Linked DNA regions of Mus musculus: regions 2, 3, 4, 5, 6 and 7 are each reported to be linked to region 1. The links are microRNA targets in miRTarBase. Many come from high-throughput screens and were not tested one by one. Region 1 holds a microRNA gene; each other region holds the end of a gene's coding sequence. Distances are between the middles of the regions.
What was found. Region 1 holds the annotated microRNA mmu-miR-3089-5p (UGAGUUCAGGGACAGCGUGUCU, at 2,497-2,518, shown strand). A microRNA usually pairs through its seed, bases 2 to 8, with sites in the 3' UTR of a target mRNA and lowers its output. Matches are read on the target gene's strand: a 7mer-m8 pairs with bases 2 to 8, a 7mer-A1 pairs with bases 2 to 7 and ends in A, and an 8mer does both.

Region 2: the mRNA of Lrp4 is a reported target of mmu-miR-3089-5p. The part of its 3' UTR that is shown has no 7-base or 8-base seed match.
Region 3: the mRNA of Foxk1 is a reported target of mmu-miR-3089-5p. Seed matches in the 3' UTR shown: 8mer at 434-441 and 7mer-m8 at 248-254.
Region 4: miRTarBase lists Cracr2b as a target of mmu-miR-3089-5p. Seed matches in the 3' UTR shown: 7mer-A1 at 3,525-3,531 and 7mer-A1 at 3,496-3,502.
Region 5: the mRNA of Gpcpd1 is a reported target of mmu-miR-3089-5p. Seed matches in the 3' UTR shown: 7mer-A1 at 2,110-2,116 and 7mer-m8 at 2,083-2,089.
Region 6: miRTarBase lists Poglut3 as a target of mmu-miR-3089-5p. Seed matches in the 3' UTR shown: 7mer-A1 at 3,014-3,020.
Region 7: miRTarBase lists C2cd2l as a target of mmu-miR-3089-5p. Seed matches in the 3' UTR shown: 8mer at 1,690-1,697 and 7mer-m8 at 2,240-2,246.

Annotation. Positions count from the first base shown.
Region 1 is chr2:30,718,726-30,722,790 of GRCm38, forward strand. Mir3089 (microRNA 3089) reads left to right here and starts at 2,485; the gene lies at 2,485-2,568. It overlaps Gm14488 (a long non-coding RNA gene), which reads right to left and starts at 2,462. Exons shown (of 4, transcript XR_866106.3): 1 at 1,248-2,462; 2 at 981-1,145. It overlaps Gm39782 (a long non-coding RNA gene), which reads right to left. Exons shown (of 3, transcript XR_866107.2): 3 at 2,838-3,988.
Region 2 is chr2:91,511,276-91,515,340 of GRCm38, forward strand. Lrp4 (low density lipoprotein receptor-related protein 4) reads left to right here. Exons shown (of 38, transcript NM_172668.3): 38 at 154-2,626. The coding sequence ends at 486. Among named protein-coding and RNA genes, the nearest start is that of Ckap5, 13 kb to the right of the region's middle.
Region 3 is chr5:142,456,124-142,460,188 of GRCm38, reverse strand. Foxk1 (forkhead box K1) reads right to left here. Exons shown (of 9, transcript NM_199068.2): 9 at 1-3,713. The coding sequence ends at 3,433. Among named protein-coding and RNA genes, the nearest start is that of Ap5z1, 5.8 kb to the left of the region's middle.
Region 4 is chr7:141,465,921-141,469,985 of GRCm38, reverse strand. It overlaps Cracr2b (calcium release activated channel regulator 2B), which reads right to left. Exons shown (of 10, transcript NM_001025103.2): 10 at 3,384-3,940. The coding sequence ends at 3,763. Cd151 (CD151 antigen) reads right to left here and starts at 2,624. Exons shown (of 8, transcript NM_001111049.1): 1 at 2,520-2,624; 2 at 1,440-1,567; 3 at 641-731; 4 at 329-520; 5 at 1-49. The coding sequence starts at 724. Gm10575 (predicted gene 10575) reads left to right here and starts at 2,215. Exons shown (of 2, transcript NR_152219.1): 1 at 2,215-3,104.
Region 5 is chr2:132,527,053-132,531,117 of GRCm38, forward strand. It overlaps Gpcpd1 (glycerophosphocholine phosphodiesterase 1), which reads right to left. Exons shown (of 20, transcript NM_028802.3): 20 at 2,030-3,690. The coding sequence ends at 3,501. Among named protein-coding and RNA genes, the nearest start is that of 1700026D11Rik, 38 kb to the left of the region's middle.
Region 6 is chr9:53,399,403-53,403,467 of GRCm38, reverse strand. Poglut3 (protein O-glucosyltransferase 3) reads right to left here. Exons shown (of 8, transcript NM_212445.2): 8 at 1,601-3,781. The coding sequence ends at 3,656. Mir130c (microRNA 130c) reads left to right here and starts at 2,582; the gene lies at 2,582-2,663. It also overlaps a transcript of 4930550C14Rik not described here.
Region 7 is chr9:44,307,419-44,311,483 of GRCm38, reverse strand. C2cd2l (C2 calcium-dependent domain containing 2-like) reads left to right here. Exons shown (of 14, transcript NM_027909.2): 14 at 217-2,247. The coding sequence ends at 428. Among named protein-coding and RNA genes, the nearest start is that of Hinfp, 3.8 kb to the right of the region's middle.

The DNA of each region.
Region 1 (4,065 bases):
CCTCAGTTTCCCTAGATGTAATTTCTTAATTGTCAAAGTCCCTCCCAGTGGGGTACCTGCATGGATCCCCAGAGCAGCAGGCAGCCTTGCCTTGCCTTTGACCTCTGCCCCGTCGCAATGGTTCCCAGAATCCGGGGCCAAGGAGTCACTAGGCCAGTCACACCCTTCACGTGGTCCCGACCCTTGGGTGCCTCTCCTGACTGATCCCACTGACCCCTTCCTCCTAAGCTAGGAACTAGCTAGCCACACAACAGCCGCAGCAGCAGCAGGCTCGCAGCGGTAGTTAGATGACAAAGTTCACCAAACCACTCGGCCTAGCAGAGCTGGGTTAGTTAAACGTCTACTACGGGCCCAGAGCTCCGGCTCCGTGTGGCCTGGTGCCCTACAACCCTCCTGTTGTCGCTATATGCTGAACGCCACCCGGGCACGAAGCAGTTAACGCCCTTGCAGCGAGCTGGCAGAGCCGGCTGCCCGGCTTATTAGTCAGCCGGCGGGGAGGGGGCGGAGGGAAGGAGGGAGGAGGGAGGGAGGGGTTCAGTGGAGAGCCGCAGAAAGCTATTCTCAGGGGCTCCCGTGTGTGGGGAGGGCGGCTCAGCGGGAACTGCCGCTTCCCAGAAAGTTGATTATTTTTAACCCAGGAAGAAGAAAGGAAGGAGGCCCAGGGAGGACTCAGAGAAGACGAGGAAAAGAGAGGAGAGGAGAGAAAAAGAGGAGAGGAGAGGCGAGAACAAGGAGAGGAGAGGAGAGAGAGGAGAGGAGAGGAGAGGAGAGGAGAGGAGAGGAGAGGAGAGGAGAGGAGAGGAGAGGAGAGGAGAGGAGAGGAGAGGAGAGGAGAGGGATAGATATTTGGAGGGAAAGGACAGGCAGGGCAGGGAGGAAGGAAGATGAGGCTTAGATATCCCACAGCAAGGGTTGGGGAACGCTCTGGGCCAATTCTGGAGGAGGAATAGATGTGGGGTACCCACCCCTGCTGGACCTACCATCCTCCTGTCCTTGTGGACTGGCCTAGTTGCATGGGGGCTTGAGGGAGGAACTGGGCACAAGGCAGTTCCAGCTCCTGGGAGTGCTCTCAGGTCAGTGGGCAGCACAATGGCACAGCCTTGTTCTGGCCTTCACGGTGACTCCTGGGAGTCTGCATGGAGGCCCTGGGAAAGAGGACAAAGAGGTTGCCTTGGTGCTTGGGCCGAGAGGGATTCACTTACGGGGGGGGGGGGGGGGGGGGTGTGGGCCCAAGTCACTTCTCCTACCTCTAGGTGGTGTCAGGCTGGGAAGGCACCTCAGAAGCAGGAGCTGGGTTCACAGAGTGAGACAAGCCAGAGACAGCTGGCCCACAGGGCTCGCAGGCGTGGCGAGCCATAAAAAATGCATTGGGTGCCCCCAAGAAGGCTGAAATATCAGGGACTTAGGCAGACTGGCTGTGTGTGTGATCTCAGCAGGGGTCAGAAGTGTCCTAGAGAAGGGTGCATGAGGATCTACTGGGATGACTAACTCAACTAATGCGAAGCCAGGGAAGACAGGACTGGCAGTCTTCAGGCCTCAGATCCAAGTGGTCTATCAATTCCTGCCTCTGGAAGGTTTGGCAGGCTTTTATGGAGCAGAGAGAACAGGTCTCCAAAGCTCCCAGAGGCTAGGAACTGGGGGCTGAACTCAAGCTTGGTTTGTGCCATGGTGGAAGACCAGCCTAGTGCAGATGCGGGAGGAATCAGAAAGCTGTCTGGGCTGGCTATGTGACAGGGAGGGCTGGTGCTGTTCAGGAGGCAGGGGACAACTCACAGGAGCAGGCTGGCAGCTTCGCATATTTGAGGGTCTGGTAGAGATGGCTCAGAGCGCCAGGTGAAAGGAAGACCCAGTGGGGAGGGCTGAGGGAGCTGCAGTGGCATTGCAGAATATGCTAGAATCCTGGTGGACCGGCTGATCCCGGTGGGTCTGCAGTATAGGCAGGGGAATCAGGTTTGTTATGGTAATGGTGCAGAGGGAGAGAGGAGGGTTCTGTTCCTATAATTGAGTACTGGGAGACACAGCAGACAAGACAGTGTGTGGCCAGCAGGGCTGAGCCTCGGGCAGGCCAGGCCGATGCCTGGAGCCTGGGAAGGTCCTGGGGACAGATCAAGAGGCCTCGGGTGTGATGTAAGGGCAGGTATGCATGTTTCTTGCTCTGAGGGCCTTGTCTCTAATTGAGAAGGATTGAGAGGGACCCAGCTACCCCTACCCAGTCACTCTGGAGCCCTGACCAGCTTCAGGCCTTTCCCCAGCAGTAGGTTGGGACTGCTCATTACCTCCACAGGATGTAGAAGGTGCCCACCCACCAAGTCACTCCCCACCCGGCCCCCAACCCCAACTGCTGGCAAGAGGAGAGCAGAGTTGAGCACACAGTAGGTCCTTTCCATGAGCCTAAGCTAGTGGGTAGAGTTAGAGCTACAGACTGGGCTGAGAGCAGAGCCCCTGCCCAGATGCCCTGGAACAGGGAGATAAGGGGAACAGCTGGTGGCTTGCAACTGAGTTCAGGGACAGCGTGTCTCAGTTTCTCTGTCTGAGCATCTGCTGATCCTGAGCTGTGTTTTTAGCTGCAGAAACCCAGGGCCTTGAGGCTCCACCCCTACACTCTGAGCACCACTGCTGCCAACGCCAAGGGGGTCTCGGGAATGGCAACTGAGAGGAGGGGGAAGGTTCTAGGACACATATGGAATCCAAAGTGCTCATCTTCCAGCTCTGAAGGGCCTGCCACGGCTAATAACAGTCTTCCAGCCAGGCAGTGATGGCACACACCTTTAATCCCAGCACTCAAGAGGCAGAGGCAGGAGGGTCTCTATGAGTTCAAGGTCAGCCTGGTTTACAGAGTTAGTTCCAAGACAGCCAGGGCTGCACAGAGAAACCCTGTCCTGGCGGGGGAGGGTGGGCTTCCCATCAAAGCTATGCTGGCCCTGCCCTCTCACCTCCTCCCAAGGGTGAGAAGAATAAGGCCCAGATCTAAAGGACAGACCTGAAGCCACCCCACGGCTGACTGTGTTCTCTGAGCCCCCACCCCTAACCCTATCTACAAAGTGCCTGGCTCCTTGGAAGCAGAGGAGGGTAGGTGTCAGGCTGTCATTCCGTGACCCAAGGCTCCCCATCAGTATGACAAGGGTGTAGGCTAGAGCCCTCTAAAGTGGACAAGACCCAGACTTCCCAGCATCCACTCTGAGAAGCCTAGCTCAGAAGAGTTGGCCAGGGCCCCAGAGCTGCACCTCCTGCTCTGTCCCCATCAGGCATCTCTGAGCTGTGAGGAGCTGTCCCCTCAACAGTGCCTGTGGAACACAAAGAGGGGGGGAGCCCAAGCAGAGAAAGAGCCGCGGGCTGCAGGCGGGCAGGCAGGCTCAGAGCGGCTCTGCTCCGCTTTCTTCTTCCTCCCTCTCTCTTTGTTAAGCTCCTTTTCAGCTGCACAGGCAGAGCCTGGGTGTTCCGAGCTGACAATAATTGCTGCGTCTAGACAGTGTCTGGTAGGAGGCCTCCTTCTCTGTGCCTGCCGGCCTCCCCGAGGCTCCCAGGCCTGGCCCACAGCCCCTGCCCGGCACCCTCAGAGGGTTCCCACACCCCTGCCTCTCTGTGGATGCCATGCCCACCCCCCACCCCCCAGTCTTTCTGCCTCCTAATTCAGTTGGGAGTACAGCTCTGTCCTCCTACCCTTGGGTCCAAAGGCACCCCAGTCTGTTCTATTTTGTGGCCTAAAGTTCAGAAACAAGACACTGTCCAAGAAGCACTGGTAATGCCAGAGGCCTCTGAAGGAGCCAGAGCTCAGCGTAAGGCAGGTGGCTGTGCTGCATAGGCCAGGGAAGCTGCCTTGCTGGGTGAGCTAAGCCTGGACCCTCAGGGTTCAATTCTAAAATTTGATCTAGGTTCTTCTAGAGTTTTCCAACCCAAAGCCCAACAAAAAGACACAGGAATCAGTGTAAGGAAGACCAAGCATTTCCCAGACCACTTTAGGCTGATGGGGATCCGTGTTTTCAGGAGGCTGGGGAAGGAGAACAAGAAACAAACATTAGGAGTTCTGAGATCTGTGCTCAACTCAGCCCTGAAGCTCTGGAAAAT
Region 2 (4,065 bases), 61 Mb from region 1:
GACCTCATATTTGCTTTGGCCACATTGATCTAGCAGTCTGTGAGGGTTTTGTCCACCCTAGCCACTTGGGTTCAGTTCTGCTTCCATTTTCAGCTCACCATGAGGACCTTTATAGAATGCCAACCGACCATGTGTCTCCATTCTCTACCTCAGGGTGGACCTGACCACAGCTACACCAAGGAGAAGATCAAGATTGTAGAGGGAATCCGCCTCCTGGCTGGGGATGACGCTGAATGGGGTGACCTCAAGCAACTGCGCAGCTCCAGGGGGGGCCTTCTACGGGATCACGTATGCATGAAGACAGACACAGTGTCCATCCAGGCCAGCTCTGGCTCCCTAGATGACACGGAGACAGAGCAGCTGCTTCAGGAAGAGCAGTCTGAGTGTAGCAGTGTTCACACTGCAGCCACTCCGGAGAGACGGGGCTCTCTGCCAGACACAGGCTGGAAACACGAACGCAAGCTCTCCTCAGAAAGCCAGGTCTAAGTGCTGCCCACATTCTCTTCCCTGCCTGCCTGTTCATTCTCCTCTGTGGACTTCTGATCCTTGTGCTCACATAACAACGCGGGCCCTTTCCCATGCACGCATCTTCCTCCTCCCACCCCAAAGTGCTCCCGAGCCCCCATAGAACCTGTTACTCATCTGAGTCCAAAACTACCTGGGGACAAGAAGTGAGGGCACATCTCAAGAATTTAGACCTGGATTTTACCATGAACTTCACCTCTTGCACTCTATCCTGGGCCCCCTGAAGCTGGGCTCAGTGTGATTCCTTGTCAGCACAGAGCTCCGTCTCCCTTTGCCCTGGCATCCTATGTGCCTGCCCCACAGCACCGATGCAATTCATGATATAAGACTCTGGTCTTCCCCATCACAGCTGGCATGATGGCCTCCCTGTGAACTGGCCTACCAGGGGCTGGGACTGGAGGTCACAGGTTAAAAGGTAATGGACAGAGGTTGAGAGAAGGAAGAAGCAGCCCAGCTGGTCTGGGTGCTTGGGAAACCTCCAGCCTCAAGTGTTGGTAATTATGAAAAACCTTGGGGGGCGGGGATTCGAGCCCTGGAATCATGTCCATTGCTGGCAGTGGACATTCTCCTCATCCAGAAGTCACTGCTTTGTCAGTTGTGATACAGGTGAAGTGTGGGAATGGCTTAGGCTCTTCTTCCTCCTGCTGGAATGTCTGGGGCCATTTCTACCTTGGATAACTGGATAGCTCCTGCCATGGCAACTCACTAATAGGAATTCCCTCCTGGTGCTGTGATGGGCCGTACTTTTCTTAAGCCTTTAGCTATGCTGTGAGCTTGAGTGAACATTGGGTGGGCCTTGGAGAGCAGACTTGTAGAACGTTTAAGAAGCTCTGCAAAGAAAGCATAGCATCCTACCCGAGCTTCACCTATTCTACTCTTCTCTCTTCCATTCTGTGGGATTCTAAGGGAAACAATTCTGTCACAGCCTTTCAAAGACTGGCTCAACATTTTCCTAAATGGTCAGAAAGAGCAACTAGAGAGACACAAGACACCCAGGGGCTCAGGAGGAGAATTGTGAGGTTGAACCTCTTGAGTTCATTCTCAAGTGCTCAGGGATCCAAGTTCATGGACACAGCCTGTGGCTCTCGGGTGGTAAAGGTCATGTGCCAACTCTTCTCAGCCCCTGTCCACACTAAAGTGCCAGCATTAGCTTCATGCTCCTTTAGGCCAAGGGCTTCTCTCAGGGGAGCTGAGATTTTTTTTTTTTTTTTTTTTTTTTTTTTTTTGTGCTGCCCTAGAATCTCATCCCAGTTTTTCTACTTCTGAGAGAGGGGAGTCTAGCCTTGCTTTCTCTAACCGGTCCTGTGTCACCTCAATCGCTAATGTCCAATGATGAGGAGGGTCAGTGAAGATGTAAAGTGGTAAGCAAGGAGTGGAGAGGTGGTGAGAACCAGTCCAGAGCAAGTTCAGGCACTTCTCCATAGAAACCGAAGCACAGGAGAGATTGGCAGGTGCTGAGAATGGAGGAGAGGACTTTTAGGGGAAGTTTCCTGACATAAAACATCTTTCATGGTTTATTGCTATTCAGAGATCAGCAGCCAGGCATCGCATGAACAAACAAGATCAAATCTTTTCTGGTCAGTTATTACGAGTAAGAGACAGATGTCAAACCATTAGTCTTGTTGTCATTAGCTAGGCCCAGATATATGTCTGCACACAGAGCCAGAGCAGGCCAATGGCCTTTTCCAGTAAACCAATTGAGAAAAGTACAGTGCCACTTCTAAGAGGAAAGATGGACATTTCACACAGAATGAGGCAGCACTTGAGCCTTTAAATCCATAGTTGGGGAGGAGGGGGGGGGGGGGAAACAGAAGCGTGGTGTCCTCCTGAGTGGAAAGGGGCAAGGATCTTTTTGCACTTGGGCTGTTCAGAATGTAGAAAGGACGAATTTGAGGAAATATCTATTTGAGCACTGATTTACTCTGTAAAAAGGGCAAAAATCTCTCTGTCCTAAACTAATGGAAGCGATTTTCCCATGCTCATGTGTAATGATTTTAACATTACTCACTGGAGAGATTGGACTTTCTGGAGTTATTTAACCACTATGTTCAGTATTTTAGGGCTTTATGATAATTTAATATAAATTTAGCTTTCTTAATTATTTTGGCTGGCTTGGAGTCATGACTACTCTTGCACCTGCACTATCTGGAAGACCCCATTCTGTGGAAAACCCACTTGGGGACATCACCTCTAATGTCTTCAGAGATGTGTGATCCACGGAGGGAAATAAGGGGTGTAAGGTTTGTGTCGGAGTTTCAACTCATCCTGAGAACATGGTGAGAGAGTTGACTGATATGTCATCCTGAGAACATGATGAGAGAGTTGACTGATATGTCAGCCTGAGAACATGGTGAGAGAGTTGACTGATATGTCAGCCTGATTTCCTTTAGAGGACGGATGACAGAGAGGTTCACCTTGGCTGCAGCTCATTGGGTTGATAGAAGCTGCCTGAGGTCCTGTCAGGACAGGACCACAATCATGATCGTTAGAGATGTCTCCAGGTTCCAAAGCCAGTGTCAGGGCATATATACCATGAATCCTGTTTTCATTCATTGAGGACTCCCGTGTCACAGAACTCAACTTTGCCTTGCAATGATGGTAACCAGCAAAAGTGTCCAATGTGATATGAAAAATCCTGGAACGGGAATTGGATTCTATCTCCAGCACCACACACATTCGGAGCCCTTTTTTTTTTTTTTTTTTTTTAAGTTACATTCTGCCAGGATGTGGTGGTACACACCGTTAGTCCCAGCAAAGGCAGGAGGATCTCTGTGAGTTCAAGACCAGTCTGGCCTACAGTGCTAGTTCCAGGACAGACAAGGCTACAAGGAAGAAACAGAGTCTCCAAAAACAAAAACAAAAACCTACATTCTCCTAATGTGTTCACTGAATCTTGAGGCAGGAATAAGATGCTAAGGAGCCCTTCTCAGGTTCTCTGGGTATTATTCCAGTGAAAAGTTGGAAATGTTCTAGCCCGAATACTATGCTGCTTGTAGAGTTTAGTTTCAAGTTTCTCAATGGTTGATTTTTCTAAATCCTAAACTGTTGCTAGAATTATGTCCCCTCTCAAAGTACCACCTAAACAATGCCTGGTCTCACAGTGTCTGGAGTCTAGCAACTGTGCCCTCACCACCCTCTCTTTCCCCCAAAAGAATAAGATAAAAAAAAATGAAAAAGAAAAAAAGAAAAAGACTTGGATTTGATTGGTAAGTGATCTGGTGTGCCAAAAACAAAACTCAACAGACTAGTTCAAGTTCAACTAAACCCTTTCTTCCCCAACATTATTTATTTGTTTGTTTGTTTGTTTATTATATGTAAGTACATTGTAGCTGTCTTCAGACACCCCAGAAGAGGGCATCAGATCTCATTACGGATGGTTGTGAGCCATCATGTGGTTGCTGGGATTTGAACTCAAGACCTTCAGAAGAGCAGTCGGCGCTCTTAACCTCTGAGCCATCTCTCCAGCCCCCCCCCCACACACACACACACATTCTTTAAAAAAAAAAAAAAAATCTCATTTACAAAGAAAAATCTTGAGTC
Region 3 (4,065 bases), not on the chromosome of region 1:
TTGGTTCAAAAATGTTCCCTTGCCAAGCAGCTGTGACGTTAGGGGTTAGGGAGGGCAGAGAGAGAGAGAGACGTGCCATATGCCAGTCTGTGGGGGCACCTAGGCCACACCCTGCTGTGTCACCAGTGTAGCAGCTTTTGGTACAGAAACAAACAAACAAAAAAAGACAAAACGCAAACAGCGCTGGGCCATGGTAGCATGTAGGCCATCACCCCAGAAATTCAGGAAGCTGAGGCAAGAGGACTGGGAGTTCAAGGCCAGCCTGGGCAGCTTTGTGAGTCCCATCTCAAGTTTAAAAAATCAAAATGGCTGGGAGTACAGCCAGTGGTAGAGCACTGGCCTAGTAGCTCACCTTGCAGGACAGACCCAAACAAACAAAACCCAAAACAAAACAATCTAGAGCCCAACAAGCAGGTGGGTGCAAGACCCACCCTGAGTTCATGAGAACTCCCAAGATGAAAGGGGGCATTAAATGGGGAGCAGGACTGAAGCAGCAGGCAGAAGGCCTCTGTTCTCTGCCCCGCCCACCCGGCCCAGCAAGCCAAAGTCCCTGTCAGAGGGCCTGCTCTGAAGGGAAGTGGTGTCTGCAGTGGCAATCTTTGGAACAGCTTGACTTATCCTTTTTAATATTGCTTCTAAGCAGAGGTATTCTGGGAGACCGGAGGTGAGGATATAGGTGGCCGCTCTGTTCCCCCTGACCTAGCCTCGGGGTACCCTGTGGCCATTTGTGGTGACTTTGCCTCTCCTGGCCAGGATGTGATGTTTCCCACACATGAGGGACCTTTCACTAGAGCTGAGACGCCACCCCTTTCTGACTTATTCTAAGCAGGCACTGTGCAGTTCGGATGGGGAGGGAGGGACTGGGCGAGCAATGTCACGTGGGTGTTATGAAATTTGAGGATTTTGAGGAAGAACAGGAACAATCCACCCGTTTCTCTCTATGGGGAAGGGTTTCTTCTTACATTTCACTGACCTTTAACCCCCACCTTACACTGTTTTACCACTGCCCAAGGGGTTCCTTTGTCTATAAAGGCTTCACATCTGTTCCTGAATTGTTCCCCCAACCCAGGGCTTAGTGGGGTGCTCCAGGGTTGCCAGCCATGGGCCACACAGTGCGTGGACATGGCCCTCCTGGCTCAGAGCTTGTGGGAGCACGCTCTGGTGCCAGCTTCTGCCCAGCAGATGACCAAACCCACTCCGCAGAGCAGCAGCACTAGTCTAGCCTCCTTGTAGCTCAGGCTGTCCAACCAGGCCGTCAGGCCGTGTACCGGGACAGTGTGTGTTCTCTCTCTCTCTCCATACCCTTCCACGCCCCTGTTAATGGTGAAGATCTGCCTCAGAGCACGGAGCCCACGTTTCAGGAACTGGGACAGCAACCTGCTCATGACCATCCACAATCTTAATCTGCCTTGGAGGGTGACCATGGACAGCCCTGGAGTAAAGGGTGATGGAGGGAAAGATCAGCAGCTGGCACCAACGTCCCTTGTCACCTCAGCCCACTACGCAACTCAGATCTCCACCCCATTCGTTCTTCCCTAACCCCAGGCTCACACCAGGCACACAGAGAGAAGTTCATGCCAGGTACCAAGGGAAGATGTGAGACAGAGCCAGCCCTCTGCCCCCTCTGAGGGGAAACCCCTCCCCCAGCCACCATCACACCAGCCCCACTTCTCTGAACCTTTCCAGGCAATAGGCAGGAGACCTCCAAAACACTGGCTTGAAGCCGAGTACTACAGAAATGACTGGCTGGGGAGCTTGGGAGATAGCTCAAGAGAGGAGGCAGGTGCTCCGCCCTGGTCCCTGATGTGTGGGGGGCACTGGTGGCTTCAATGGCAGCAGCCATACATCGGAGCTTGGACTTATCCATCCCGGTCATCTGCTCTCCTGTGACCACAGCCTCCAGGTCTGGAGTCCCTTCCAGCAAAGGCAGCTTGTCCAGCCTGCTCTCTGCCCACAGGGCCCTTGGGCCTCTTCTGACCGGCACCAGGCAGAGAAGGCGGCTGACTGGTGGGTGGTTTGATACCAACGACAGGGCCTGGGGCTCTGTCCAAGTTGTTGCCAGCTGCTTACCGACCACCCTCTAGGAGGACCAACACTGAGTTTCTGGCTGCTTTGGAGTTTCCTGTCGCACAGCCCCCATGACTGCTTCTATAAAATCAACTCTCATTCTCACAGAGAGAAACATTTGATGGCTCCTGCTCACGAGACTTGGTGTGGTGTATGTTAAAGTGCTGTTGGTCACTTGTCCGGCATGCAAAGGGACCTTCCCCGGGCGTCCAAGTCCTCAGCTGACACCCACGCTTTGGTTCTTGCTGCACTGTACTCAAACTTGGCACCGACTGCTGTCCGGAGAGGTAGTTTCCTTTCCAGAGGATAACGGTCAGGTAGAAAAGAGGGTTTCCATTTTCAAACTGGACAGGGTTCTCAGTTAACTGGAATGGGGGTGGGGTGGGTGGGGGAGGAGACGGTGTGAGCAGATCACCGCCCAGATCCTCTGCTGTCTTCCTGCCGCATACCACCCACCATCCATCATCCTCCTGCTGAGCAAGTGGCTGACCGACTTCCCTTGCAGCTGGCTCAGGCTTCCCTGGAGATCCGTTTGTAGCTTGCAGCTCTCGACTCATTCAGTGCTGTGGGCACTGGCCCTGGGCTGACTTTCAACCCAGAGCTCTTTGATCCATCAATGTGGGAGCCGCCCATCCTTCTTGGAGTTATCAGGGAGAGCGGCATGTTCACCAGGGCCTGGTGTGGTCGAGCGCAGGGCCTGGTGTTGCTTGGCTGCCTACAAAAGGGAACCTCAGAGACACATGGTCTGCTCTGTGTGTCTCAGGTTGGAGATGAGCCCAGATTCCATATTTAGCTGAAAGAAATATTTAGGGTCCAAAGCCAAAGCAGATCTCCCTGACCCCAGTTAATGCCACAGTCTCTGTCACTTTTGGGGAGAGGGCTCTGTATCCTAGCCTGTGGCTGGGAAGTTCTTGCCATTCTGTTTTCTGGTCTATTCCCGGATCAGTCACAAATAGGAAATCCGTGGACCCACTCTCAGAGAGAGGAGCCTGGGTTTGCACTGTGCTTCTGTCCAGGCCTGGGGCTCAGGCTCTTGTTGTGGGCGCTGCCTGGGATCCATTCCTGAGGAGCTGGGCTAGATAGACCTTCTCCCCCAAGAACTGGGGAGAGGCGATGGCATGAGAGAGGGGTAAATAAACACACAGAACCCCCAGATTCATACAATCAAGTTGTCTGTACGTGTTTATGTGTTTGTTTCAAACCATGGGAGGACAGGAGATAAAAAGGAAACTGTCCGAGTGCGGCGGCCACCCACATGAGGGCTGCAGGCTGTGATGGGCTTTTCCACTCGGTCCTTGAATGTAGCTGCTGGCCACTAGGGCTCCTGTGGCGTGAGTTTCACTCCACCTTCCTGCAGGCGACACTTCACTCGCCGGTCCCCGGGCCCTGAGGGCCGGTGGCTGCCATAGCTGTGGGCTGTGTGGTGGCTGTCCCACCGGGTTCCTCTACCCGGGACCTCTTGACCTCGGGCTCTCCGCTAGAAGAGGCAGATGTGGTAGTGGAGGCGGCTGGGGTTGGCGCTGCATTAGCGGCTACTGAGACGGCTGCTGCTGGCTCCTCAGGCCCCACCTCACACACCCGGGTGATGACCACTGGAGTGGATGAACTTGCCTGGGCTGCCAGGAGCTGCAGGGGGCTGCTGAGGGCTGGCGGTAGGAAGAAGAGGTTACTTAAGGGTCATCACTATTTGACCACTAACTGACCCGAGCAGCAAAGCCAGAGCCACAGTTCTTTCTCTGCCCGTTCCTCACACAGACTCCTTCTCCCCGCCGACAGCAAGTTTGAGTCAGACACCCAACACCCGACTCCACTCAGGGCCCTTTTCTTTGCTGCCTCTGTCACCCTGAGGATGCCCCTCCCTCCCCTCTTTGCCTCTGTGATGATGAATCTTTACATCACCTTAGTGGGATTTAAAATTGCAATGGAAACAAACCTCTGGGCCTGTCTGTGAGGGGCTTCTAGATCAGGGTCACGAAGAGGGAAGACCTATCCTGCCTG
Region 4 (4,065 bases), not on the chromosome of region 1:
TGCCAGCAATGATCTCCAGGAGGAAGATGATGAGGAGCAGGATGAAGTACTAGGGAGCAGGGACCCAGTAAGTGGGGGGTTGCTAGTGCCAGAGTACCACAAAGCCAAGCCCCCAACCCAGGAGGCCAAGCAAGAGGAATTCAGTTAGGAGCTACACTCTGGGGCTGCCTAGCTCCTTCATAGTTCTGAAGCTCGTGTCTGCCCCAACAGGGACAGCCTGCAGTAATACACTCAACCAGTTAAGTCCCCAGAACCAGTACCAGAGGCCCCCTGAGAAATCCATGCAAGGCACCCCTAGCCCCACCGTGTGCCACCATGCCCCACTGACCAAGCGTAACAGGTTCCGTCGCTCCTTGAAAGTGGCACAGCAGCCCAGGACTCCAGTCACCATGACAACAACACCAGCCACCACTAAGATGTAGGCCGTGGCTAGGTAAGTGCTTGAGGCCAGCAGACTAATGTAGTCACTCTTGAGGGCCAGTGTCCAGATGCCCACTGCCATGACAGCCAGGCCGGCCAGCTGCAGAAAGTATATACTGGTCACCACATCTGGCCTGGGTCTGGAAGCTGGGACTGAGCCCCCCAGGCCAGGCCTCCAACATGGGGACTAGGGATGCAGGGAGAAATTAGCTCTTCTCACCCAGAAGCAGCAGTTGTAGGTAAAGAGCAGGTACTTGAGGCAGACTGTGCCACATGTTGCCTTCTTCTCATTGAATTCACCCATCCTGGGCCTAGAGGAACGGGGAGGAGGTCAGATGGCCTGAAGCACCAGGCCTCCAAGTAGGAAGAAAGCTATCTACCAACGGAGACAGGAGGAGATCCAGCAGTCCCCGGATGATTGCAGTTTGGAGCTCAGCCAGCTATCTGCCCTCAGAGGAGCATTCCCAGGAACCTTATGAGTCACTTCCTGAACTAACCTCCTCACAGCCAGACACATGGTGGGTTATCATGGAGGACCCCCCAACATCTGCTGACTCACTCCTGCTGGCAACAGGGGGGGAAGCACCAGCAGACCTTCAGGGTACATTCCTGTTGATCGGCACCCCCAAGCATTCCCTGAGTCCCACAATCAGGCTGCTAGGTACTTACCACTCATACCCGTTCCCAGATATGGCAGAGAGCTCAGGCCACCCTAAGGGACAGTTTGTGAGGACTCTGAGCTGACTCTACTACCAGCCAGGGCAGAGACAATAAGATGCCGGTAGGTGGAGCCTGTACAACCAGCTCTCCTCCCGACTGTAGGGGGAGGTCCCAGTTCCACATATGTGAATGTGCCACTCCTCCAGGAGTCCCCTAGTCACACCCTGCCCTAGACACACTATTGTCTGACTGAGGACAGTGTACAGACCTCGGCTGACGCAGGTCAGATTCCCAGACACACACCTAAGCAGAACTGTTAGCCAGGGGCCTTGAGGCTCTGCCCAGGCACCAGCTCTCACCTCTCAAGTCAGGACCAGCAGGTACAGGTCAAAAGTCACTCTCTGCCCTTCACCTAGCAGGTGGGATCTTGCCACTCCAACTACAGAAGCTTAAGCAGTGGTCAAAATGGTTCTCAGAGCCACCAGATCTGCAAGGAAGCATAACAGGCAGGCCTGCTGTTTTCTACTGGACGGCGGCAGGCCAAAGAACATGGCTGACCTGCCTGATCTAGGGAGGGACCAAATGCCTTCTCCAAGTGCCCCACCTTCCAGTCCCATCCATCACAGTCCCTCCCCCACCAAACAGCAGCGACCGCAAACTGAAGGAGGATGCATCGACTGTCCATTTTGGAAAGTGGGAGAGATTTCAGAGCTCTATTTGGAGATGGGACCCAAAAATGCATGCTGCCTCACTGAAAGCGGGCAATGACATAAAGAAGCCTGGCCACAATGCAAACCCCCGGGGCCAGGCTCTAAAAGCCCAGAATCTATGGGCTTTTAGACACATCCATCAACCTAAGCCAAGAGACAATCAGCAGACTGGATGTAAATTCTCTGTGAAAGTGCCGGTGTGAGAGCCTGGACCAGCCAGAAATAGCTCCTGCGGCCTGGACACAACCGCCCTACACTTAGCTCCTGGACCTGTCCTGGGCCTTCGGCACCCGCCCCACCGACCCGATTAAACACTGAAGTGGGCTGGGCGAGGAATCCCCGCGTCACAGAGATGAAGTCACCACCGCCCCTGCCGCCCTCCCCCGCCCCGTGCCAGTGGGCGGACCTGCGGTCTCAGGGGAGGGAACCGGTGTCCAGGGACAATGAATAGGGTGGTCAGACTTTTAAATTTCTGGGTTTCTGCACGAAAGAGACCGTCAGGCCTGCTCAAGAACCACAGAAGCTCTCTCCCTCACCCCTCCCCCTCCGGCCTTCTAACTGCCCGGCCCCGGCGTCGATCTTCCGGAAAGGAGTCTGCAACCCTGTCCTACCTCAGGCTCTGCCTCCTGGGCGTCCCTGAGGCCAGCTTGGAGACTAGGAACACCAGTGAGCGAGGAACTCAGGACACTGCTCCCCACACCCTCCGGCTATGCTTCACGGAGCACTCACCAACCACGCTTTGAAATACCAGCCCCGGCAGCCACGGTAGGAGCGATCACTCGGAGTACAGAGAACGCTCGGCCCGGGGCCTGCGAGGACACGCCCTGCGCGCGACCCCGCCCCGGGCGCAGCCCCGCCCACGGCCGGCCTGGGCAGGCAAGTCCTAACTGGTTTGGTGCTAAGGCGCGCGCCAGAGAGACCTGTGGGTCTGTAAAGTTAGTTTAAAGGTGCCCCGTTTGTCATCAAAAGCCCCAACTCGCCCAGAGACAGAGGAGCTAGACCAGAGGTAGAACCCAGGTGGGGAGCGAAGAGGTGGGGAAGGTGGCACCTAGCCCACCAGAGGTCCAGAACTGAGGTCAAGACCAGTTTCTCTAGTCTAAGCCGGGAGAACCACTCTAAAGCTGCAGGTTCTAGCGGCTGAAGAAATGCTAGAGGGGAAACTCCAGATACAGTGTGGAGGGTGCCAGAAGATTCCATAGAGACATGAGGGCCCTGCGAGAGGTGCCCAGTGTGGGTGGCATATGGTCTGGCTAGGAACTGTGCCAAAGGATGATGGATAAAGGACCTGGACCAGAAAGCTAGCTGACCACGGAGGTGAGGAGCGGGACCTTCCACGTGTGGACTAGCGTGGGAGCGGACACCTGTTGAAACCTGAGTCCTGGGAGCTTCAGCTGGGAGGAATGGGTGAGGGCTTGGTGAATATCCAGAATCACAGAACACACACAAGCACACAGGAACCCCCAGCTGCAGGAACGAAGGGGTTAATGTGCACCTGTAAACCCCTCCATGTCACCTTGTGCCATGGATACCAAGCATGAACCACAAATGCACCGTGGCTCCCAAACACACAAGAGCCAAGGAGTACACAGTATACAATGGCCTTTATTGGTCCTTCAGACAAAGATTAAGGAAGACAGGATAGCCGGGCGTGGTGGCACACGCGCCTTTAATCCCAGCACTCGGGAGGCAGAGGCAGGCGGATTTCTGAGTTCGAGGACAGCCTGGTCTACAGAATGAGTTCCAGGACAGCCAGGGCTACACAGAGAAACCCTGTCTCGAAACCCCCCCCCCCAAAAAAAAGGAAGACAGGATAAAGACTGAAGGACTGAAGGCCTTGACTACTCTGAGGTTAGCTCCTTCAGGCATGGGATGCCTTCTGGGTAGAGCCACACACTTAGCAAGTATCCGCCACCAAGACCAGTCCCTCCTAGGGGCAGTCCTCTGGATAGGGAAGTGAGTCACTCGGGGCTGGTCATCGGGCACTAGGAAGATGGCCAGAGCCTCGTCTGGGGGGCCGAGCCCAGCCACAGCAGCAGCAGCAGTAGATGGGTCCGGGCTTGTGGGCAATAGCTAGAGCCTTCCTGTGGCTACTGCCCAGCAGCTTGGTCTCACAGGCATCTCTCTCATCTCGAAGCCTCAGATTCAGCTCCCTAGAAAAGAGAGGTAGGAGACCGAGGAGGCTAAGATCTAGAGGAAAAAGTGCATGGGGGAGATGCCTTCCCTGAGTCAAGAGGACTACAGAGCCAGCCGCATGAAGGCTATAGGGCAGACATAA
Region 5 (4,065 bases), 100 Mb from region 1:
AGAACAAAACTCCAGGCTGCCGGGGACTGCAGTAGCTAATAAAATATACAGGACAGTTGTGACGCTAGAAGGAAAAACCCACTTTAGTTATGACCAGTCACTTAGAAAATCCCTGAGGCTCAATAAGACCCTCCTTCCTCCCCTACCCCCCACCCCCCACGTGTTAGATTTGGACTCTTTTGACACCTGGGAGCCTGTTAATGTCTAGGGGCTACACAGAACTGGCTCCATGCCTCAGCCGCTGCAGCATATGGAAGTGGGCCCAGCACTTCCCTTAGGCAGCACAGTAGAGCCAGCCCCGAAGGCATGAGAAGTAAGAGCTGGCACTGGCCCCTTGCCAGCCGCAGCACTGGATGAGCTAGCTGGGGCAGTCAGTGCTGGAGAGCTTGCCCTGGTGGTGTGGGGTGCAGGAGCTGGCGGGCTGAGCAACTCAGCTACCATCCAAGCCCAGATCCAGGGCTTTGAGCTGGCCATCCCAACATCTATTCCATCTATGAACAGCTAGAGCACATAAAGGGGCTGGTTCTGTAGATCTAAAGTTGCAGGACCTTCATGACACAGGATAGCTGAGGAGTGCAGGTGAGGATCCAGTATTGATAGTGTAGCAGAAGCCAGAGGCCTCGAACCAGATCAATGATTTACTGCTGTGAGCATTTGCAAATAAAGATGGACAAAAGGATATACTAAGTGACATACTACTGCAGCTTCCGAGAGACTTATTTTCTTTTGGGGGTGTTGCAAGGGCGGAGGGCAGATAAGGTCAGGGGGATAAGTGGGATTGGGGTACATAATATAAAATTCACAAAAATCGTTTATGAAAAAAATCTTCAGAGTAGCTGTTAAGATGTAGGAATGAACTTTTAAGTGCTCTTTCATCAAGCTAATGTAACCAAACCCATTACACTGTAGATGACACATGCAGTGACAGCTACAGAGAAAAAGGCACAAGGGAAATGATCTGTCATCGTGCATGACTGGCAAGTTGCCCTGCACCACACACAAGTCCAATGAGCTCTGTGTTCACAGACAAGAGGTCAGACCAATCCTTACCACCACCTCCATGAGGGAGCTGTATGCCTTGCCTCCATACTGAGCAGAGCTAGTATAGGGAGCAAATGCCAGAGAATCATAGAACTTTCCAGAAAGTGTAAAATAATTTAACATTAAACATCTGCATGTAATAACTGACATCAATAAGCTATCCCAGTGGTCATAATGTAAGCCACTTCAAAATGTGCTTTCATAATAAATAAATACATTTCATTTACTGTGGAAATAAAAGTAAAGTTGGTAAGATGAATGCCAACTGTGTCTCTGGAATGTCCCAAGGCTCTGTAAGATCACTGGTAAATGCAATAAGGAGTAGTAAAATATTCAAAAGTGTTGGCACTGGATAGTTAGATGAGGCAGCAAGAGTGTGGGCCAGTTGATGGGGAAGGTTCCAAGCAAAGGACATATAGGCACAGATGGAGTGGTGCAGAGCTAGTCACAGCATGGCTGAGTAGAGGAAAGGTGACAGCTAGTGACATGGAGGCACTAGGTTAGCTCACATAGTCTAATCAACTAGTAATGGAGAAGACAGTGGTCAGGCTCTATGGTACACTAGCCTAGCTCTTCTCAGCAAACTAAACTGCTTGGGCCCAGTCCCTACCAAGTCCTCTGTAAGATGCACCCTTGTGCTTTTCTTCTGTCCTACACACAATAATGGAGCTAGGAGGGAAAATACATGGGAATGGCCACAGAACAAAACTAGAGAGGCAAAGGGAGCACACCACACGGTACACAGGTCTATGAAGAAAGTCAATTACATTTTCTGAAGGTACCTGATTATGTGGAAATGTTAAAGATTCATTCAACATGGGAAAGTATATAGAAATACCCTTGTAGAAGACCATTTTCTAAACTATGCTCCACTAAACATCATGTTACAAATACAATACCATAGGGTTTCTGACCCCATCTCCCCACAGTGAAGAACTGACCCAAACCCCCATTGTTGCACTGTTAAGAACAAATCAGGAAGCCAAAGGTGGTGGCGCATGACTTTAATACCACTTAGGAGGCAGAGGCAGATGTATCTGAGAGTTCAAAGCCAGCTGGCTTACACAGTGAGTTCCAGGACAGCCAAGGCTACACAGGTTGTGTCAAAAATTGAAAGAAAAAAAAAAGTACAACTTGTCATCTCAAGTCTTATGTTTTTAACTTCTGTCAATACATGCACAAACTGCCTCAGCAGGAGCACTGAGAAAGTGTGGTGAGTCGGCCCATACAAGCAGAATAAAATTTCTATTTGTAAGACAGAATACCATTATAAAACCATTCTACAAAATACCTTCTTGAAATTTCATTTTAAGATGAGGAAAAAAATAAATCTGTCATTTTATTTAACATTCATTCTGAAGTTACAGTTTTATCAGTACAATCTGCTTCTAAAGAAATCTTAGTATAATCCTAAAAGCATGCATTTATATACAGTAAGATCTACATTCCTAAATAAATTACATACATGATATATATTAAACAATAAAGAATACCAATTTGAGAATTCAGGACATTTATTTTTCTGCATGGGAATTTAACTACTATGCAACACACAGCAATTATGTTTACTAGGTAGTGAGACACTTATGTTTACTAGGTAGTGAGACACTAAATAAGCATACTCAAAGTGTCTAAAACAGACTTTGTTTTTTAGGCGACAAAATATTTTATGTCCTTAACATCTCCCTCACCTAGCACCAGATGCAAGGACTTAACAGTAAACATGTACAATCTCATGCTTAAAACCTAAAGCATGCATTGAGTCAAATTGATACCTTCTGATCTACACTACTATATATGCAATATATACTTCTTACAAATACTTTATACATTAAGTTACCCTGCAGCATTCTGGAACTTTAATATCTTTGAATGGTTTATGAGACAAGTTTTGAGGTTCATCTGCAGGCTGGCTTGGGTCAGGTGAGAAATGGCAGCAATCTGAGGTTTATACTAAAGGAAAATGGTGCGTGTTCCTATCAACCATGTAAAGATACCTATGTACATGGATGACACAGACCTGTGCAGCTGGAGCCACCAGTGCAAATGCATGCATTGAGGTACTTAGTTTTTCCATGGTCAGGTATAATTATGCAATCATTTTTCTCAAGCACTGAAGATTTAAGACTTAATCAAATGAAAAGCCTGAACTTTAAGTATGAGATATTTATATCGTTAATTTCCAACTTTTAATGAAGATTCACCATTATAGGCTTAGATATCTCACTGAAATGTTTAACAGTATATTTTCTTATTGTACAGAGACTGATTGGTAATTATACCTGGACAAGTGACAAATAGCATACTTGATATTCTTGCGGGACCTGTAATGAAATAGTAAAATACTTCATTATTGCTTCATTGGACTGAAAAACCTAAGAGGCAACAGCAGTGCTCGATGGTGAAAACTAAACATGAGGGCAGCGGTGTGCCCCTAAATGTCCTCTGTGCACTGTGAACTAAGCGTTCTCCACACTATCAATGCCGTTGGCATCCACGTGGATATCAGGCTCCACACAGAAAGAAGAAGGGATGAAGTGGCTAACAGTGGGACACAAACAGTTCTTAAGCTCTGGCAATTCTTGCTTCAGGCGCTCCAACTGCTCCACTTGGAATATATTTGGCTGTTCAGGCATCCAATCATATATCCTATGGTGAAAACAGACACACAATAAGAATAATGTAATTTCATGTTTATTAAGGACTGTCTGACTTAACTTTTTAAGAAAATCCATTTTAAAACTACCTGGAATATTCATTCTTATTGTATTTTATTCTACTTTAAGATAATGATAAAGATCAAAGCATTAGGTGAATTAATTCTCAGAATAGACTGTTCTTTTGTAACCCCGGTCATAAAACAATTCCTTGAATCAGAAAATGGAATTTGTAGTGCTCTAGTGATTCTTGAAGTATACAACTGGTGATGCCTTAGTTTACAGGAGGAAAACCTCCTGAGCCCTGAAACTTGTCCCCAGTGACTTAACTCACAAATGACCAGAGATCAGAAAGAGCCTCTGGTAG
Region 6 (4,065 bases), not on the chromosome of region 1:
TGGAGAACTCACCCAGTGATTCTCGGGGCCGCTGTGCTTCCTCTTCAGGCCCCGATGACTAGGCCAAAACTGCTTAAATTCCCTAGAACAGTAAAGTCAGAAAGGTTTACTCAAGCCGAGCAGAAACACTCAACAAATCTATTCAATAGACAGGAATCTACCAGGGGCGAAAGGTTTTCTGGGAACTTCGCTGAGCACCAGTGTTTATAAGAAACAGAAATGAACTTCGAAAATAACTTGATTATATACAGCCTCGTTAGCCAGTCAGCTGTTACAGCTCATTTTCTGGCTAATTAGCTCCAGGGACTTTTGCAACAAGCCCAGTCAGGTTAGCTACTATCAATCTCTATGTTCACCCGGCTCGCTGGGCCCAGTGCAGCTGTCCAAATCCATGAGCTCCCATTAGTAACAGAAATAACATAATGCCAGTAAGAGCAAAATATTTATTTATATTACTCCTTTTGCGAGGCACCATTCCACTCCACACTGGTTCACACCGTGGACTGCTTGGTGAATTCCCCCGCCCCCCTCCCCCAACCCCAAATGCTAGAGTCCTGGCACAGAGGGCAAACAATTGTCCATGGATGGTTTTTTAGCTTCTACCCCAGAGCCCCGTCTGCGGGCAGTGATGTGTGTCGTGGTAGGGGGCTCTTACTCATTGCGTGGGACATGAAACCTGGGCAGATGGCCTGATGTGGTGGGAAGACAGCTTTCGTGTTTCTCTAGGGAGTTTGTTTCTTCTTGCCGCCGCCTAGTCGTTTACAGTAAAGGCGAGTCCTTGGAAAACACGTGTATCCGTTACTTTCCTGTTGCTGTGGCAAGATGCCAGAGCAACAACTTGAAGAAGAAAGCTTATTTTGCGTATGCGCCAGCGGCCACCACGAAAGGGAAGGGTTGGCTTGGCTTCAGGAGCCACACAGAAGTGCAGCGAGAGCAGGAGGCAGGGCAGGCTGTAAACCTTCAAAGCCTGCTCCCCAGGGATGGTCTTTCTCTCTCACCGCTGCATCTCCTACAGGCTCAGTAACCTCTGCAGACAGCACCACAAAGTGGGAACCAAGCGTTCAGACATGTGAGCCCATGAAGGTCTGTTTGCTGCTTAGCTTTCTGTCAACTTGATATAAGCTAGGGTCTTCTGGGAAAAGTGAACCTTAAATGGGAAAGTGCCTTCATCAGATTAACCTAGAGGCAAGTCTGTGAGGGCATTTTCTTGATTAATGATTGGTGTGGGAGGAGTCAGGAAGGCACAGGGGAGGAATAAAAGCAGAAAGGGCAGGATTAGAAGAGTGGAATGAGACACATGTTAGAAATGTAAAGTGGTATAAAGCACTTTGCCCCCATTTCTGCCCAATAGGGACAGAATGGCCATGACAGCAGTTTTAGTTCAGTTATTCATGAGGACATAATGGAGAGAAAGCTAGAGCAGGGTCAGAGGGAATGCTCAGTGCTCGGGCTGCTCTTGCAGAGGACCCAGGTTCAGTTCCCAGCACCCACATGGCAGCTCACTGCCATTTGTAACTTAAGTTCCGGGGAATCCATTTTTTTCTGGCCTCTGTGGGTACCAGGCAAGGTGTGGGGTAGTAATATTTATGCAGGCAACACTCAGACACAGAAAATATATTTTTTTAAGAAATAAGCAAGCCTTAGAGACATATCAGGGTGCAGGTGGTATGAATCTTAAAGTACATGGAGTTCCCTTTCTTATTATAAAAATGTGCTTTATTTAAAAAAAAAAAGAGTATATAATAAAACCACAGGACAACATTCTAGACATGGATTCTTAATATGGCATTGTGGAAAACATAAATATCTGTTTCTTTCCCCTTCTTATCGTCTCCTCTGTGCATTTATTTATTTATTTTTTAGCATGTTAACACTTATTTTACAGCTTGATTCTATATCCATAGTTTAAAACCAATTTGGATATTATAAAATGGTATAAAGCGAAAATAAAAATCCCCCTCTCTCTGTACTCTTCCCAACCAACCCTTTCTTTTAGGAAATGTCTTCACGTTCTGTCCTGTGCCTTTGGTCATGGAAAGCTTTCATTCCCGCATAATTAAAACTGGTTTCTTCTTGTTGATGGTGGTGCTCAATTCCTCCACTCGTCAGTAGCTATGCGAGCAATGTCAGTAGCTATGCAAGCAATGCGCTCACAACCGATGGGTGACGGCCAGTGTTTCAAGCCATAAACATTGTTGACAGTTTATTCAAATAAACACACCTATATCTTTATAGCCTTACATCCCTCCCTTTTTTGAAAGTCATATAAAACTTTCTTCTATTGAAATTAAGGTATAATTATATCACTGTCCCCTTTCTCCCTCCAGTCCCTCTCTGGGGGTTTCTCCTTATTCTTAACTCATGGGCCCTGAAGCCAGATATATTTTGATAAATACTTCAGTATTAAAAGTGGCTAATGGACTATATGGACAATTGGTTAAGTTGGAAGGGAAGGAATTGGAGCTTAATAAACCAGCTGGTTCCCCTAAGGTATGTGCAAGTTAATGAACCATAAAGCCATGTAAAACTCATTTCAAAGGCTACGGTCAAGTGGAGTTAACCTAGATTTCTTGATAGACTTGTTACGGTTTGGATGTAAAATGTCCCCTGCAGGTTTGTGTGTCAAAGACTCTGTGTCCAGTGCAATGTTCCAAGGTGTGACTGTTCAAAATGAGAATCGGACAAGTCAATAGAAACTGCCTAGTTTGTTTCAACTTCTTTTTCTCCTAGTTCTGCTAGGACTATTCAGCCTCAAACGACATCAATTTAAAAAAATTAATGTGTCTCTAACAAAATACCTTTTTCTTTCTGAACCTGTGGTTAAAGAGGTAGAAGCGAGGGAGGCAGTCTTTCTTCTCATGTCCATATGGGATATTTGTCATGCTGATATTTCTAAGATCTAGTTAAAGATACAAATTCTTGCCGGGCGGTGGTGGCGCACGCCTTTAATCCCAGCACTTGGGAGGCAGAGACAGGCAGATTTCTGAGTTTGAGGCCAGCCTGGTCTACAGAGTGAGTTCCAGGACAGCCAGGGCTATACAGAGAAACCCTGTCTTGAAAAACCAAAAAACAAACAAACAAAAAAACAAACAAACAAAAAAAAAAAAACCAAAAAACCAAAAAAACCAAGAGGAGAAACAACACAGGGAGGAGACAGTCGAGCCTCCCCAAACACTTTGCCCTTCATAATTGAATATAAAAGTAAGTGAATTCGACTTTTATCTTGGATAAAGACAGAAGCAAGCCAGTGCACCTGAGCGTGCCACCCACGGATTCCCAGTGATTTATGAGCCTTTTATCCACTAGGGTGCACAAACAAGCAACTCCAAAGATATTTCATAATACTGAAATTCATGATCTTCCTGACTTAGGCTCTCGAGTGTGGGATTAAAAGCTTAGCATTTCTCTACATTTCTTTTTTGTTCTGGTCTTTTGATAAGATCCAACTGGGTAAGCTGGGCTGGCCTGGAAGTCACCACAAATCTCAGGTAGGCTTTGCACTAATGAAATCCTCTTGTTCTGCTTCCATTGTGCCAGGATTGCGGGTGTGAGCCTAACCCACCAGGCCTGGTTTCTCTGGTCCTTCACAGCTTAGCATCTTTCACAAGTCTTAAAGATGCAGCTGGCATACAAAGGAGTATGGAGCTGGGTCTCCTCAAAGCTCTTCCCTCTCAGGCCTCCTCCGGTGGCACTGGCAGATGGATGTGCCATCATCCGGCTGGGGAACAAGCTCCATTCCATCACGAATCATGGGCTTGCTGGCCTGGCGCTCGGCATATTTCTGAAATATGTTCGGAAGGAACAGAAGGTTTAGTTCATGCTTCATTCTAGTCTAACCTCCCCCACACCTCCACCTCCAACCATGGCGCTTCAAACCCAAACCAAAGATCTGGCTCATTTTAATTTCATTCATATATATATATTCAAGACAGGGTTTCTCTCTGTAGCCCTGGCTGCCCTGGAACTCACTCTGTAGACCAGGCTGGCCTCGAACTCAGAAATCTGCCTGTCTCTGCCTCCCTCATAGTTGTATTTTAACTTTATTTACTACAAATGCTAGTACAA
Region 7 (4,065 bases), not on the chromosome of region 1:
TCAGAGGCGCACAGATCCCTCCCCCTAGGACTGTGTTCCTTCCTCAGGATGGGTGAAGCTCGCGTGCGCTTCCACCGCCTTTCCTGAGAAAGGCAGGCATTAGGGAAGAGACAGAGTACAGTCGTCATCTTCTGTATTAACTTCCTAAGTCTTTTCTCCACCCTCATCCCAGACCTGTGCCCCTCCGTCCACCTCAGTTTCCCTTCTTCCCTACAGTGAGTTTCCTGCGCAGTGGCACAAAGCTCATCTTCCGCCGGAGGCCCCGACAGAAGGAAGCTGGTCTGAGCCAGTCACACGATGACCTGTCCAACACGACGGCCACACCTAGCGTCCGGAAGAAGGCTGGCAGCTTTTCCCGTCGCCTTATCAAGCGTTTTTCCTTCAAATCCAAACCCAAGGCCAATGGCAACCCTAGCCCCCAGCTCTGAAAGCCCCCGAGCTAGGAGAGATCAAGAGTTCTCTTAGTCTGTCCCCCACATCCCCTTCTGTACCCCTTCCTGGATCCCCACTGCTGGGGCCAGGAAAGCCCTCGGGTTATAGGGAGCCCCAGCACACTGGGCTGTGGGGTGAGCGGGAAGGGTGTCTGACATGGGAGGCATCTGGGAGGCAACAGTTGTTGCGTGAGCGTAGAGGAGAGTTTGGCAGCTGAGAGTCAGGGGCAAGCTCTGTCTTGGGCGTGTGGACACTCATCAGAAGCCTCTGCTGGTACTGCCGCCAGAGGGGAGCCCAGAGTACTCTCTCATCAGCAGGTCCTTCTCCCTTATTTATTCTCGTTTCTATTTATATGTGTGGTCTAGAACCCTTGGCAAACAGATGATAGAGGGCATCTCTCCCAGGTGACCCTTTTCTGTCCCAGGAGGGTAAGGCAATTCCCAGGACGGGTTTCTACCCCTCCCTTGGGAGTCCTCTCTTAGACCAGCACCAATGTCTGCCTTCAGAAGACATTGGCAGATCACAGGAAGCCGGGCTAGGGCCCGGGATGGGGGGCAGGCACTCCCCACCTCCCTACCTCCCACATCGCTCCTTGTCTCTCCTTCCCCTTTATTACCATTTTGTACTTGATGCCTTCTCCATGAGCAGTGGCTCAGTTGGAAGGAGGGAGCCAGGAAGCTGGGAGGAAGCCTTCCCTAGAGAGCCAGCTTTAGGAGTTTTAAAGACAGTACGATCATAGAGCAAGGTTGCACCTCTGTATGTTGGGAGATGATGATGTCCATTGCTGTGTGATGGCCTGGAATTTAATTTATTTAATTAAAATCAAATTGGAGTTTATAAACGGGAGTGGCTGGTTATCCTTTGAAAAGCAAACAGGCCTAAAGGCTGTGGTGTTGATAGAGTGGGCAGGCGGGCTCACTGACTATGACCTAGGCAGTCAGGTGGCACAGGTGCCCTTGAACACAGATACAAGTAGAGAGGTTTGAGTGATGATACTCTGAAAAGTCAAGTTGCTGCAAAGAAGCCACCCCTCCCCCACAGGCTGTTCTTTCTGGGCTGTAACACGATTTAGAGTGTGGACTCTGAGGCTGCACTGTTCTGACCTGAGACCCAGCTCCACTGACCTTTGTGACCTTTGTTACCTTTGTGACCGTGGACAAATATGGGGCCTCAGTTGTTTTGGTTTGTTTTTGATCCAGAGCCTCACCTATGTTGTCCTAGCTGGCTTAGAACTCCTTAAGTAGACCAGGTTGGCCTTGAACTCAGAGATAGCCTGGTTTCTTCCTCCTGAGTGCTAGGACACCACACCTGGTTGTGTACTCAGTTTTTTTCTTCTGTCAAATGGGGGCTAGGGACTGGGGATGTAGCTCAAAGGTAGAGTTCTGCCTTAGCATACCCAAAGCCCTGGGGTTTGTCTCTAGCAATATTTCATAGAGAGGATGAAGCCAGGTGTGGTGGCTAACACAAACCTTTAATTTCAGTACCTGGGAACTCTGTGAGTTTCAGGCTAGTCAGGACTATATAGTGAGACCCTGTCCAAAACAAACAAACAAACAAAAGCACTATTCCTAACATAGGTGAGTTTTAGATACCTACAGATATGTCTCTGTTTCCTGTCCTTTGGGATATTACACAGGATTGAACCAGGTAAGCTGCTATAGGAGGTTAGGCAAAATGCAGGACCAATAGGCAGGAAACTAAGTGTGCCACCAATATCTCTATCTGGCCCAAGCTGCTACTCTTTCTGGACTCCAGTTTCTTCACCTCTAAAATAAATGAAAGTGGCCTGGGATAATCAGGTCATTTCTGAACTCCAGCCTTGATGTATATCTTACCCGGGCTTGGCTTGTGAATAGACAGCACGGTTTTTTGGTTTGGTTTGGTTTTTTTACTGTTGTTTTTTTCTGATATAAGGTCTTTCTATGTGGCCCAGGCTGCCCTTAAACTTTCCCAGTGCTGAGATTACAGGTGTGTGACGTCACACTTGGCTATAACTTGTCTTAGTTTTTTATTTATTTATTTTTTTAATGTGTGTGATGATTGAGATAGAAATCAGGGCCTCATACATGTAAACTCTTCCACTGAGATGCATCCCAGACCCTCTTTTCCCCTTTTATAGATAGGATCTCACTAAATTACCCAGATAGGCCTTGACATTCTTTATAGCTCAGACTGACCTTGAATGTATAACCCTGCTGTGTCAACCTGTCGAGTGCTAGGATTAAAGATGAGTTCTAACATCCTGGTGGTGGTAGCTGTGGCTGTGGCACACACCTTTAATCCCAGCTCTTGGGAGGCAGGGGCATGCAGATCTCTGAGTTTGAGGACAGCCTGGGAAACACAGAGAAGACCTGTCTCAAAACAACAGCAAACAGAAGCAACAACAACAAAATATTAAAGTGTTCTATTTTGTCTGACCTAATCTATACCCTTTAATAAACATCAATGGTGCTTTGTAGGGGGCAGCTTTTTAGAAAGTAGTCCCAGAATATGTCTGGATAACCCAGCCTGAATTGTGGTTCTTAAGATGAAAGTGAACCCTAGTAGGCAACAAAACACTACCTCGAAGTCTGGACTTTAAAAACTGAGCCGGGCATGATGGTGCATGCCTTGAATCCCAGCACTCGGGAGGCAGAGGCAGGCGGATTTCTGAGTTCAAGGCCAGCCTGGTCTACAGAGTGAGTTCCAGGACAGCCAGGGCTACACAGAGAAACCCTGTCTCGAAAAAAAAAAAAAAACCTTAAATAAATAAATAAATAAATAAAAACTGGGTGCTGGTGGTGCAGGCCTTTAATCCCAGCACCCTAGAAACGAGGGGTGAGGCAGAAGAGAACATTCAGCCACAAACAACACTTGCTCCTTTTGCAGAGGACCTTGGCTCAGTTACCAGCACTTTACCTGGCAGCCATAACCATCTGTCCAACTGTAGTTCTTGGGGTTCTGGTGCCCGCTTCTGGCACCAGGCCATGCATGATGCACATACATTTAGTCAAAGTATTTATAAAGGTTTGCTTTTAATTCTTGAGATGGTTCCGAGGAAGTGGCTTAAACACTGCTTTTAAGCACCAAGTCCTCTTGACGAGGACCCTGGTTCAATTCCTGGCACCCACATGGCAGCTCACAACTATCTGTAATTCCAATTACAGGGAGGATCTGATGCCCTCTTTTGGCCTCTGCAGTCACAGCACACACATGCTGTACCCACATCCATGCAGCAAATACTTGTAGACATTAAAGAAGTAAATCGTAGCTAGTTGTAGTGGTGCATGCCTTTAATCCCAGCACTCGGAAGGCAGAGGCAGGCAGAGCTCTGTGAGTTCAAGGCCAGCCAGGCCTACACAGGATTATAGAAGTGAGGTATCATGACCACAGCTACATTCTCTTTCTCGAGACATTGCCTGTAGGATCTTTCTGCCTCCACAGCTGCAGCAGATTTGGGTTTACAGGCCTGTGAACACCTGGCTCAACTTGACCTATTTTTATGTTGTCTCTAAACTTTTATTTACATAGGACACAGACAAAATGATTTTTGAGGAAGTGTCTCTAGCCCAGGCTGTCTTGTCACCTACTATATAGTACCAGCTCCCGGAAACTGCCCTCAGGTTTTATGATCCTCCTTCCTGCCTCCCCTTC